Linked DNA regions of Danio rerio. The protein of the gene in region 2 interacts with the protein of the main gene of each other region in a pairwise test. Links are inferred from orthologs where the notes say so. Each region holds a gene or a part of one and is shown on either strand. Other genes may lie near its edges. The genes, in order: stam2, klhl42 and si:dkeyp-72e1.9.

Region 1 (4,196 bases), on a different chromosome or scaffold from region 2:
CTCCTCAAATGGCTCTTTATCGAACCGATATCTGATCCAAATATCAGGATCGGTGCATCCCTATATACTAGTGACATTAAGGTAACTACCTGGTAATAAAATTAGAATTTAGAAAAACTATTCATATATTGTTTGCGTGTTGATTTTTCAGCTCACCCATTTGGAGCTGTCCCGACACGGTCACAGATATCCATAATGAGGCCCCAGTCCTCCACTGTGTTGGTTTCACTAGTTGCTTTCTCTGAAAATACAAATGAGCATTCAAATGAGACTCTTAACGCAAGGTCATTCTAGAACCATATCAAAAAAACTGATAAGTGTTTGACAAACGTCTAAACCAGCAGGAGGAAATGTCTTCTCATTTACCATAAATGCTGTTAACAAAACACTAAAAAACTAAAACTAATAAAAACCACAATTTTAAAAAGAAAATCTTTTAGTTTTAGTTATCAGTTTTGCATCCCTGAGTTCGAAGGATAGGTTTATTGAAAATAAGATATGCATACCGTTAAGCAGTGACAGCCTGTTTTGCCTGTTATTTTACATTTACAGCTTGTCACAACAGGCACAACAGTTTCTGTCATAATCCACCAGCAGAAATTATTTGCCCCCTCCTTTAAGAACAAAGCAACTGGGCACATTTTTATGACTAATTCTTACTCGTAACAACGACGTCTTGAATTGCAACATCTAGAAAAGTACATATTCATGAATAAATAAATAAAATGAACAATAATAATATGCCTTAATTTCCTCCATAAAGGAACATACAGTTTCACACGTTTATATAAACTGAATTCTAAAAGGACAAAGCTTTGAAAATAAAACCAAAGATCATGCTATTGTGTGCTGTTAGGTTCCACGCCTTTTGACAACTGAGCTCCTATTAATCTTCCACCCATTCATGCTTACAAGAAATAAAAAATATAAATAAATCAAATAAAACATAAAATAAAACGTTTTTTTTTTTAAATCAGAAACTTTTAAAACAGGACATTTTGATCATAAGTATCAGCATAGTAATACATTATTATTTGTTATAATTACATTGTTTTAATTACAGTTATTTGTTATTATTTTATACTAAATTATATGAAACAATATTTTAATATAACATACAGAATAAATACCTGAATCTTAAGCTTACTAGAAATTAAAAATAAATATAAATAAATAAAATAAAACATAAAATAAAAACGTTTTTTAATTAAAAATGAACGTTTTGATCTTAAAATCAGCATGAATTATTATTAAAAATACACAATTATGTTTTATTATATTATTTTTAACTAGATTAATTTATTATTTTACACTAAATAATAATAAATAATATTATCGTAAACATCCAGAATAATAAAATCAAAGCATATAAAGAAAGTATTATTACAACTATTATTATTATTAAATTATTAAATATTAATAAATTATTATTATTAAATTATTATTACTTTTTTATATGACTTATTGGAGCATTAAAGAATTTTCATATTTCGTACTGAAGACCCTGCCACAAAAATATATATTTAAAAAATATTTTTGTCAGTAATCAAGCAATAAAATAAATTTAAAAACAATTTCAATATAATTTGAATCAAGGAGACATCCAAAAACAAAAAAACTTATGGTTTTGGTGTAGTTGTTTAAGGTTCCCTGTTTGGGCTTTTACTAACTTTACTTCATTGCCGTAGACTTCTATCAGTATGTTTTCGAATATCTTAATCTATTTGTTTATTACTATTCTTTTAATTATTTACTTTGAGCTGGCCTAATAGTAATAATAATTATAATATAATATATATATATATATATATATATATATATATATATATATATATATATATATATATATATATATATATACGTGTGTGTGTGTGTGTGTGTGTGTGTGTGTGTATTAAAATAAGCTTCTCCTGCTCACTAAGGCTGCCTTTATTTTTTGCCTTTATTACAGGACAAACTGTACAATTGTAAAATGGTATTGCACTATAAAATAACTGTTCAAAAGTACTTTATAATTTAATTTATTCATTAATTCCAGTGATTTTAAAGATGCTTTTTCAGCTTCATTACTTCAGAGTCACATGAGAAATCTCTCTAATATTAATTATTATGATTATTATTTTTTTATAATTAATGAAAAAAGTAATAAAAGCATTAATGAACGGAGTAATAATTTCATTTGAAACTACATACAATATTAACTAAAAAAATGAAGAATTTAATAAAAACTGACCTCAAACACTTGACCGGTACATATATATATGTGTGTGTGTGTGTGTGTATATATTTATAATTATCATTTGTTTTAGTATGTCTTTGTCGTTTATTCTTCAGTTTTTTATTCTTATTGTCACTATTATTGTTGTTGCCCTTATTACAAATATTAATATTATTCAAAAACCTGTATTCCTATATTTTGATTATTAAATGTATTTTCTTATGCACACTGCTATGCTGTCATCTACGTCATGTTTATTGTGTTGACATAATTCAAAATAAAAGAAATTTTGATGGAAAAAAGAATAATTTCAGCATTTAGTGTTCATCTAAAAAGTTCTTGAAATTCAAAACAACATCCCAAAGACACTGTCAGTTATCTATTTTACATTTGACAGCTTTAATAGTTAGATTTTGATAAATAAGTTATGAATGACCGATAAACAAAACAATAACAGAGCTCTTGAGGATCTTGCAGTGAACGGAGCGCTGCTGGATCGGCCCTTAGTTACTGACTTGTCAAGACCACATCACTTCGACAAAAACAACACTGCCAAACTCACCCACATCCTGATCGAACGGGTTTTGACCAAACAACGGCATTTTGTAACCTTTTCCTATGTGTCAAAGAAAAAAACTGAAGCGTATTATCTACGTAGATCGACGATTTATCCTTCTCTCATCCATTAAATTGCGTTCACTTCCACCAGTTGCTCTTCCGTAAACTTAGTAGACGAGCGCAATGCCTGCCAGAAAATACATCCAGGAAACTGTCAACATATTCTACATTTAAAGCAGCATGTTCACAAATTATATTAATACTCAAAATTTAACCAGTAAATTATTATACTTGTGCATATTTAAAAATATATATGTTTATATTTCAGACAGGCGCATAGGTTGAGTCAGAAGTGCGCTCTGACTTCAAGACTCGCACTGCCATCTAGCGGCTAGTTTAGATGTTTCTAGAACATCATAATTCACTTTAAATAATCTCAATATATTCACATACATTACTGTAATCATATTATTTTAGTTGTATTTGATGTAAATGCTTGCGAAAAAGACGACGCTAGTCTGTAACTGAAAAAACAAAGCATTGTTTACACTCTGTCCTCACCAGAGGGCGCTGGATTCATAAGCAGCTTTTTTACATGTCAGCAAGGCCACACGCCTTTATCCACCGGGACCATTGGATGATCCAGTCTTTCTAATGATAGTTCAGTCATGTCGGCACCTGCCATGGGGACCAGCAAAACAGCGCACAGTGAGTCCGGTCACAAGAAGAAAAAGGGCCCCGGAACACTGGCCACAGCATATCTGGTCATTTACAACGTGATTATGACAGCAGGGTATGGTGGAAATCAAATGCGCTTCCGTGCTTCTCTCTTCAAGCGTGTGTGTGTGTGTGTGTGTGTGTGACAGCAGAAATGAATGGTTGGATTTCTTCAGCCTGTATGACAGAATCGCGGTCACCTCCCCCATTGAGTCTATATTGTATTATTTAACACTGTTTAATTTGAAAGCTGAAACATTTCAACAAAGTTATTCTGCACATGTCTGCTGTGCAATCCAAATGCGGTGTAACGTAAAGCCTATTATCGCTTATTTAACTCGCCGTAGGGTTGGTGATGGGTGACAGCGAGCATTGGTTGTTGTTGCATGAATGCATTGTTCTTGTTTTACAGTCGCTGGTTTGTTTGGGCAGCGTTGTAACAGGGCTTGTAGTGAATTTAGTGTCTTTGTTAGTTTGAATGTAGCCTTGTATAGTTTGTAGACATTAGACTAGGCAGTGAATTAAGCGCACCTTAGACCTAGTAACCCAGAAACTGTTGCACAATAATGTCCGTTTCAGGAACTAATCGATTCGATTCGAGACAGCCGATTCGTTTCTAAATCACTCATCGTTGTTTTTTACATGAGCATATGTAATGTAAAGCTTATTTAGCAAATTCATGGCGAATGTGAAGCATTGGATA
Region 2 (4,366 bases):
CCATTAAATAGCATATTTTTCAGCCAATAAATTTTCAGTGGCTGAAAATTAGGGACATCTCTAAAATTGACACACTTTTAGATCGCATTTCTGCTCTGTGATTGGCTTATGGATCAATATAGAGTAATAAAATCCAGAGCTTATCATTGTTATTGGCGCGATAGTTTTATCGCGATTTAATATCATAGAATTTATCAGACCAGCCATACTTTACACTGTGCAACTGGAGGGTAAGTAAAACCACTGTGCTGATAATTTTGCATATTATATTGCATGTTATAATGTTGCAACCTATATGAAAATAAAAATGTAAACAAAACCTCCAGGTGCTCCAGTTTTCCTGACAGGCAGACGTAAGCTATTTGTCCATAGTGTATGTGTGAATGAGAGTGCATGGGTGTTTCCTAATGATGGGTTGCAGCTGGAAGGGCATCCGCCGTGTAAAACGTGCTGGATAAGTTGGCGGTTGATTCCCCTGTGGCAAGCCCTGATTAATAAAGGAAATAAGAAAGTAAATGAATGACAAACAGCGTCAGCTCAATGTACAGTTTAAATTTGCCCCACACGTCTGTCATGATTGCACTCCGGACTGTTTCCCAAAGCTGTGAATAAAGAGTAATGTTGTAAATAACGTTCAATTTCTTGTACAAACCAATCATTTAACGTCATGAGGCCTTGTTTTTTTGTCAGGAACCAAAGGTATTTAGTATATTTTTGACTCTTAAAGTCTTTGTAGCGATTGATTTGCATTTTATAAAAAATAAAGGATCACGTCTTCAGCTAAAAATTGTTTCTACTGACATGCTTAAGAAAAAAATCTGCTTGTATCGACTGAGAATGAGTAAAGTGACCATATCTAATTTTATCAGCTTTAAAGGCCCCTTCCACTGAAGAAATGAATTGTACCTCTTCTGGTTCAGAGATGCCACTTGGTTCCACTCATTCTTGGAGGGGTTGTAACAATGTGCGGCTGAGATCTCTTGACTTGTCATTCTGTATCCTCCAACAATAAACAAGTAGTTGTCCAGCACAGCAGATCCATAACCCCTGACATTGATCATATCCTGAGGAAGGTTGCTGGCCAGAGGTTTCCAGCGTTGTTCTACCTCACCATACCTCAACATGGACCAAGGCTCATCCTGATTCGCCAAATCCAGACAGGTGTGAGTAAAATCCCCTATTGCTACTAAAGTGGCTGTGCCTTTCAGGCGGATATCTCGGATCTGTTCTCGCACATTAGCTGCCAACATCCTGAACTCTGGCCTGCGCAGCATAGGATGATAATAACAGCTCATGAATTTCAGGCAAGCCCTTCTCAGCTCGTGCATCCCATAGACCTCAGAGAGCTTGAAGAGCTCCACGCAGTTCTCCTGCTTGATTTCAGACAGAAGCAGCTTTAGGATGGACGTGACTTGCAGGAAGGATGCTGTTTCGATCAGGTCCTCCAGAGTCTCGTTGTCCACCTGAACTTTGGAGGTGTTGATGAACTCCAGCACTAGCTCGAGCCCGGGCGCGCTCAGTCCCCGCAGCCGCACCGAATCCTCCGCGGACTCGCGCATCCCGGAGCTGTAGAGCGCGCGGAAGTAATCGCTCTTCTCGATTAGTTTGCTTTTACTCACATTGTACGTCTTGTCATCCATCACGATCTCTATTATCTGCTCGGGGGAGGTCATGGCTGCTGTTCTGGGATCAGCGGTCGTGAAGGCGCTCCTGTCCCAAAGCCTATATATGGAAATGTTGAGCGCATCGATTCGGAGTCAGTTCATCTGCATGCATGTATTCCATAAACATCCGCTTCATTTGCAAACAAGTTCTGCATTGCAGACGGACGACCTGCATATGATATATAATAATGCTTCATGAACTCGTCTGCTTGTGTAGATGTTCTTCATTTGGCAGATTATGCAGTCAGCTGATGTGCATTCTTGATCGATCCATTACATTTTTTAAAACTCAGGTCCTATGGTATTAATGTCGTGGTATCATAATATAGCAGTTTATTTTTGTTCTGTACAGTTTGCACTTCGTGTTTTCAAATGTAAATCAGTTCCTGTTTTGGTTTTGTAAGTAGTGTTACGTCACGCCGTACACGTCTTGTTAGCCACGGTTTTGCGTTATAAAATAATAATTGTTGTCATTTTATTTTTACATTACATTATTTTTACATTAACACCTATTACTGCTGCTACTATTTTGTCATTATTAACAATTATGTTTATGTGTTTAGTTTTTTACGTTTTATTAAATTGATTTACTTTCTTAATTACTTTTGTCATATGTTGTGGCATATTGTGCTTCGAAATATGTATTAATTTTACGGAATAACAACTATGAATTGCTAAAGAAATCATTGCTTGATGCGAAGCGTTCAGAGAACGTGTCACACATTTATTTCTTCCGTATAGAAACGTGATGCGCTTAACGTTATAGGCTTGTGATGCATACTGCCGTGTTTTAAAAGCCTATGTTTCACACTTTAACATTCACTCTAATTTAATTAATGATCTATAGCACCAAAAACAACTTTCGCTTTAATATGTATACTTCGTAAATGGCCGGACAACATTATTAGCTCTACGTTCTGTCAGGGTTTATTTTGTCGACGCACAAAATTCAACGCCAATGCTCAGACACAAGCGACAACAATTTTAAGCATATGTAACAAACATTTAAGTATTGTTCGGTATGGGAGACAAGCCTTTAAGAGTGTAAGTGTTAACTTGGGCTGAAAAGCGGCTTATGAGAATGCTGCATGTAATACATGTGCTATTTAGAGTCGTCTTTAACAAAATAGATGGAGATCCCTAAGTAATAAACTCACGTGCCTTTTTGCCTCCACGCTGATTAAATGTTTATTTCCCCCTCAGACTGGCGTGTGGTGACGTTGAAGGAAGAATAAATGCCTTGTTCAACCGGGTGAACGCCATCCAGAAAAAGAGCGGGCAATTTGATGTGAGTTTACACGTGTAGAGTCTTATTTTAAAGAGACGAACTTGAAAAGAGAGATAGTTTGTGTTTACTGAGATTTGTTTTTCAGTTGCTGCTGTGTGTTGGTGACTTTTTTGGAAGCTCCCCTGAAGCTGAAGCAGAATGGGCAACATACAAATCTGGGGCAAAAAAGGGTAAGGTCACTTTAAACATGTTTAAATTGTGCAGTATATCTGTAATCACAGGAAGTGAATGTCAGTGATGTTGATCAGGGATGTGTTTAAATCCCCAGCGCCCATCCATACTTGTATTCTCGGTGCAGCCAGTCAAGAGACTGTCAAGTATTTTCCAAGCTCTGATGGCTGTGAGTTGGCAGAAAATATTACGTGTTTGGGTAAGATGAATCTATAACCCCATATCTTTCTGTCTGTGTCTATTTGCTGTGCTCGGCATATATAAGTACACCCCTCACAAATATATATATTTTTTAATTCATATTTTCTATATTTTTATATTTCATATTATTAGGAAGCAATATTGTATTTGTGCATTTACATTAGATTAGTCAGTACTGAAGCCAAATCTGGAGCTTATCTAACAAAATAACTTACGATAACAGTCCAAAAACTAGTACACACAATTTTATGTTATAGAAAAATATTAAATACAAATCATAAAAAAGGAAAAATATTTGTATGATGTTGTTTTTTTACAGTGAATGTTTGTTTAGAAACTGATATGATTTTATGTTATTTTGTTGTATAATTTGTAAAGGTTTTGCCATGAATATAACCAATGTTGCTGATATGGCATTATAATAAACAAATAATTAAATAAATAATTCCAGATTATATATAAAATTGATATTTGTATTTTTCCCCAATACCCTGTGGTTGTGGTATATGTTATATGTAAAGGGTTAGTTCACCCAAAAATGAAAATGACCTCACCACTTACTTGTGTAGTTTTAAACCTTTATATTTTTTTCTTTTATTGAACACAAAATAAGATGTTTATAAGAATGCTGGTTTCTGTCACCCATAGACTTCCATAGTAGGAAGAAAAATTCTACAGACGTCAATGGGTACCAGCAACCAGCATTTTTCAAAATAACTGTAAATAGGTTATAAACAAGTGAAGGTTGAGTAAACCGTGTCAGAGATTTCATTTTTGTCTGTACTATCCTATTAAATGACATATGAATGGAAAATAATATATGTTTGATTTAATTAAAGTAATTACCAGAAGTAATAATTAATTATTTTATTATTAATAATAATATTTTGAGTAATTTTGATTTATTCAAGGCTTATGTTCTAGGATGTCCAAGCAAAATTAATTTAAAAAGATAGAACTATTTTAATAAATGTATATTTGTTTATCAATAAGTGAAAATCAGTTTAAGTGAAAATCTGCAATAATATTAATAAATATAATT
Region 3 (3,656 bases), on a different chromosome or scaffold from region 2:
GTCCATAGAAAAGGTTGTATTGCTCAGTTTAAATGGTCAGTTGCTAAAATGAAAGCGCAGTAGTGTAAAGAGCCTAAAAGACAAAAGGTTTGTACTGGAATTCAGACTGCATGTGCAAAGCTGCTTATGATCTCCGGCACATTTCTGACTTACTGTGATCCTCAGTGCAAAGCGAGCAGACTCCATCCACAAGCTCTTTGGCCTTGGCTGCGAGCTGGCAGGCCGAGTCTGGGATCGGGGACGGTGTGTCGGGGCTGTCGGTTGCTGGAGATGCTTGTGCACTCCTGTGGGATGAGCAGATGTCAGGATCAAGAACGGAAGGACAATAACACTTTCAGCATGTTTGACTCAAACAACTTACCCATTTTCAATCCCGAATAAGTAAGTGTTGGTGAGAACTTTGTGGACATTCTGTAAAAACAGAGTAAAAAAAATATATTTTTGAAGGACTTCTGATGTCTATATACACTACCTGACAAGTCTTGTCGTCAATCCCAGTTGTAAGAGCAACACATAATAACTTGACTACTAGTTGATCATTTTGAAAAGTGGCAAAAGGTCGATTTTTCTGATGAATCATCTTTTGAAATGCATCCCAATCATCACAAATACTGCAGAAGACCTACTGGAACCTTCATAGACCCAAGATTCTCACAGATATCAGTCAAGTTTGGTGAAGGAAAAACCATGGTTTGGGGTTACATTTAGTATGGAGGCGTGAAAGATATCTGCAGAGTGGATAGCAACATCAACAGCCTGAGGTATCAAGATGTTAGTGCTGCCAATTACATTACAAACCACAGGAGAGGGCAAATTTTCAGCAGGATAGCGCTCCTTCCTTTACTTAAGCCTTCACGTCTAAGTTTCTGAAAGCAAAGAAGGTCAAGGTGCTCCAGAATTAGCCAGCCCAGTCACCAGACATGAACATTATTGAGCATGTCTGGGGTAAGATGAAGAAGGAGGCATTGAAGATGAATCCAGAGAATCTTGATAAACTCTGTGAGTCCTGCAAGGACGCTTTGTCATTCCAGGTGACTTTATTAATAAGTTCAGCTCTCCAAGCTCATTGGAGTCATACACAATATTATAATATATAAAAAAAATTCCCACTGCACCATGATTTTAAATTCTATACTGTACATTATTTCTGTTAAGTGACAAGACTTTTGTCTGAGCCAAGTCAGACCTTACTGTCCTAATGGAATAATTAAAAATCAAGGCATGATCATATTTTATTTTGGTAAAATAAGTGTAATCTAGAGGCCTTTGCCTTTCATAGAAAACCACTTCTGATACCAAACGATCAACTAGAAGTCAAGTTATTATCTGTTGTTCTTAAAACTTGGATAGGCGACAAGACTTTCGTCAGGTAGTGTACAGCTGATAGTTTGTTTAAGTTTTGAAATGTGCTTTATGTTTACCTGGGCAAAGCCAAGGAGCTTCTTGTTGGATATCTCCAAGTGTTTTCGAGTGAGTTCAGACTTTCTGAATTGGCTGTCAATGGCGGTCAGCCTTCTGTTCAGATCCATCACATCCTCCTGAAAAGAAATTGGCAGTTAGAATAACTTGAACTAAAACTATTCAAATTATTTTGGTTAATTCAAATATAAAAAACAACCGAGTAAAAAAAAAGACAAACAAGCCTTAAAATCACCATACAACATGTTACAGTTTATTAATTTTCAGTAAATGTCTTTTTCTTTTTTTTTCTTTTCACATTTTAAACACTCATTTGACAGGACAGTATAATTCGCTGCTTAAATCATGACATGGAAATCAAGTTATGTCCATCTTTTAATCATGTCACACTTTACAGTCTTATAACAATTATAATATAAATATCTGAAAATAAGCAGTTTCTGTAATTTGTGATTCATGTTTTTAGATTTTTTTTATTTTTCCTTATTTATTTATGTTTTTGAATTGCATTATGGGAGCTTGATCTTTCCAACAACTTCCACCAGCTTTTAAGTGACTTTTATTAACATTTTTAATAATTTAAAGAAATGTATTATCTGGTTTGGTGATGAATATTACAGCACAAAAACATTGTAATAAACTGCCAGTACATTTTCTGTTATTTTACAGACTTATTTCTCCATATATTTTTACACATGATATTATTTCAAACTACTAACTTAACTTAATGTATTACTTTCTGACCATCTATTATTAGGCATTAAAATAAACATTACGATCATGATTTTCAAAAGTATTACAGAGCACTGTAGGCGTTCAATAATACCATTTGTTGAGCCTCCCCCAGATAGACAGATAGAGGGATCATAAACAAATATCTTAAAATATTTATGAATAATCAGTAGAGATAATATAGAGCTATCTAAAAATCAGCCTACAGTGACACTGTAACACTTCTAGCACGTAGATGAATTTTTATGTAACCTTTATTGAATATTTAACAAAAAAGCAGCAATTAAGGCAAGAATATCTAACAATCTTTATTTATTTATTTAATTATATATATATATATTTATTTATTTATTTATTTTCCCAGAATTTCTTTTTCTTTTCTTTTCTTTTCTTTTCTCTTTCCTTAACCTCATATGCAGTATATGATGTTAAATTCTGTTGTAAAAATAATGTATACACATGTAAAAGTTTGTATCAGAATTTGTGGCATTGTAAAACATTTGAATAAAAACAATGTACAAAAAATAATAATATGAATAATAATAATGTGAATATTTTTTCAGCAAACAGAGGAATGTGCTAAAATGTACCTTAGTGGCCTCCAAGCCTCTCTTGTTCTTGCCGGCGAGCTGGTTTTTCAGATCTTTGATTTCGGCCTCCAGGAGCTGAATGACCTCCTCATAGTCCTGCTCTGCACTGTTGGTCTGTCTCTGCACAGCTTCTGCCACCTGCAGTTTACTCTTCAGACACTTATTCTCCTCCAGCGTTGCTGTGGCCTTCTGTTTCACACATACACACACAAACAAGGCAACCAAACATCTTAAATGATCACATATGTTCAAACGCTGGGATTACATATATTTGGCATACTCAAATATGACAAGGCAAAAAAAGTCATCCATTTATTAAAACAGATTGCATGCCTCTTAATAGTTGAACTGCATATATTGAAACATTTAAGATTAGTCAAGTTGAACTTTTTTTTAGGCTTCACCTCTGCTGTCTTCTGCAGTTCATCCTCCAGAGTCTTCTTACTGTCCTCTGTGTCTTTCAGCATCACCTGAGAAAAATGCGATAAATCTTGACGTTAGTTTGCTTGCAAAATTGTTTAAAAACTCAAAAAAATGGCAGTTTAAGATCTGGGATATACAGAATACAAAATATCTATACTTTAAATATGTTTTATGATTTATTCATCAAAACGTCTCCAATCATAGGCCTTTCTCTTTCTTATCATGTCCATTTGCTACCATTTTAATGAAAAATCATCTTAAAGGGTCATGAACTGCCTATTTTTTTCCATTACTGGGTCTGTTGCATAAAACATGAGTCATTGGCAGTTCATTCCACTGTGACAATGCCTAATATTCAGCGACTAAGCCAAAGGTAAATGGATAAATGAATGAATGAACTTGTAATCTATTACAATTTTACATCAATATCATAATTAAGATGTTATAGATTGTTGTCTGTCTTGTTTAAACCCCTTTAGAACAGGTTTAGAA

The links.
Region 1: the proteins of klhl42 (region 2) and stam2 interact in binary tests that used the Homo sapiens proteins (3 or more experiments, as listed by UniProt). The two-hybrid records come from large-scale screens. The link is inferred for Danio rerio from reciprocal best matches to the Homo sapiens genes KLHL42 and STAM2.
Region 3: the proteins of klhl42 (region 2) and si:dkeyp-72e1.9 interact in a two-hybrid assay, tested with the Homo sapiens proteins (2 studies listed by BioGRID and IntAct). The two-hybrid records come from large-scale screens. The link is inferred for Danio rerio from reciprocal best matches to the Homo sapiens genes KLHL42 and STXBP4.

What each region holds. Positions count from the first base shown.
Region 1 is NC_133184.1:39,754,851-39,759,046, reverse strand, and holds the start of stam2 (signal transducing adapter molecule 2), read right to left. Parts: upstream 2,946-4,196; 5' UTR 2,821-2,945; coding exon 2,781-2,820; intron 242-2,780; coding exon 157-241; intron 1-156. Other genes in the region: hacd2 (very-long-chain (3R)-3-hydroxyacyl-CoA dehydratase 2), read left to right, coding at 3,445-3,569.
Region 2 is NC_133179.1:18,229,764-18,234,129, forward strand, and holds the start of klhl42 (kelch-like protein 42), read right to left. Parts: upstream 2,868-4,366; 5' UTR 2,826-2,867; exon of another isoform or gene 2,822-2,825; intron 2,709-2,821; coding exon of another isoform or gene 2,686-2,708; exon of another isoform or gene 2,577-2,685; intron 2,039-2,576; exon of another isoform or gene 1,723-2,038; 5' UTR 1,674-1,722; coding exon 907-1,673; intron 1-906. Other genes in the region: cwf19l1 (CWF19-like protein 1), read left to right, coding at 2,686-2,708, 2,868-2,952, 3,038-3,122, 3,221-3,322. UniProt on the Homo sapiens protein: Substrate-specific adapter of a BCR (BTB-CUL3-RBX1) E3 ubiquitin-protein ligase complex required for mitotic progression and cytokinesis. The BCR(KLHL42) E3 ubiquitin ligase complex mediates the ubiquitination and subsequent degradation of KATNA1.
Region 3 is NC_133178.1:35,424,971-35,428,626, reverse strand, and holds part of si:dkeyp-72e1.9 (syntaxin-binding protein 4), read right to left. Parts: intron 3,212-3,656; coding exon 3,146-3,211; intron 2,931-3,145; coding exon 2,742-2,930; intron 1,539-2,741; coding exon 1,422-1,538; intron 412-1,421; coding exon 362-411; intron 285-361; coding exon 154-284; intron 1-153. UniProt on the Homo sapiens protein: Plays a role in the translocation of transport vesicles from the cytoplasm to the plasma membrane. Inhibits the translocation of SLC2A4 from intracellular vesicles to the plasma membrane by STX4A binding and preventing the interaction between STX4A and VAMP2.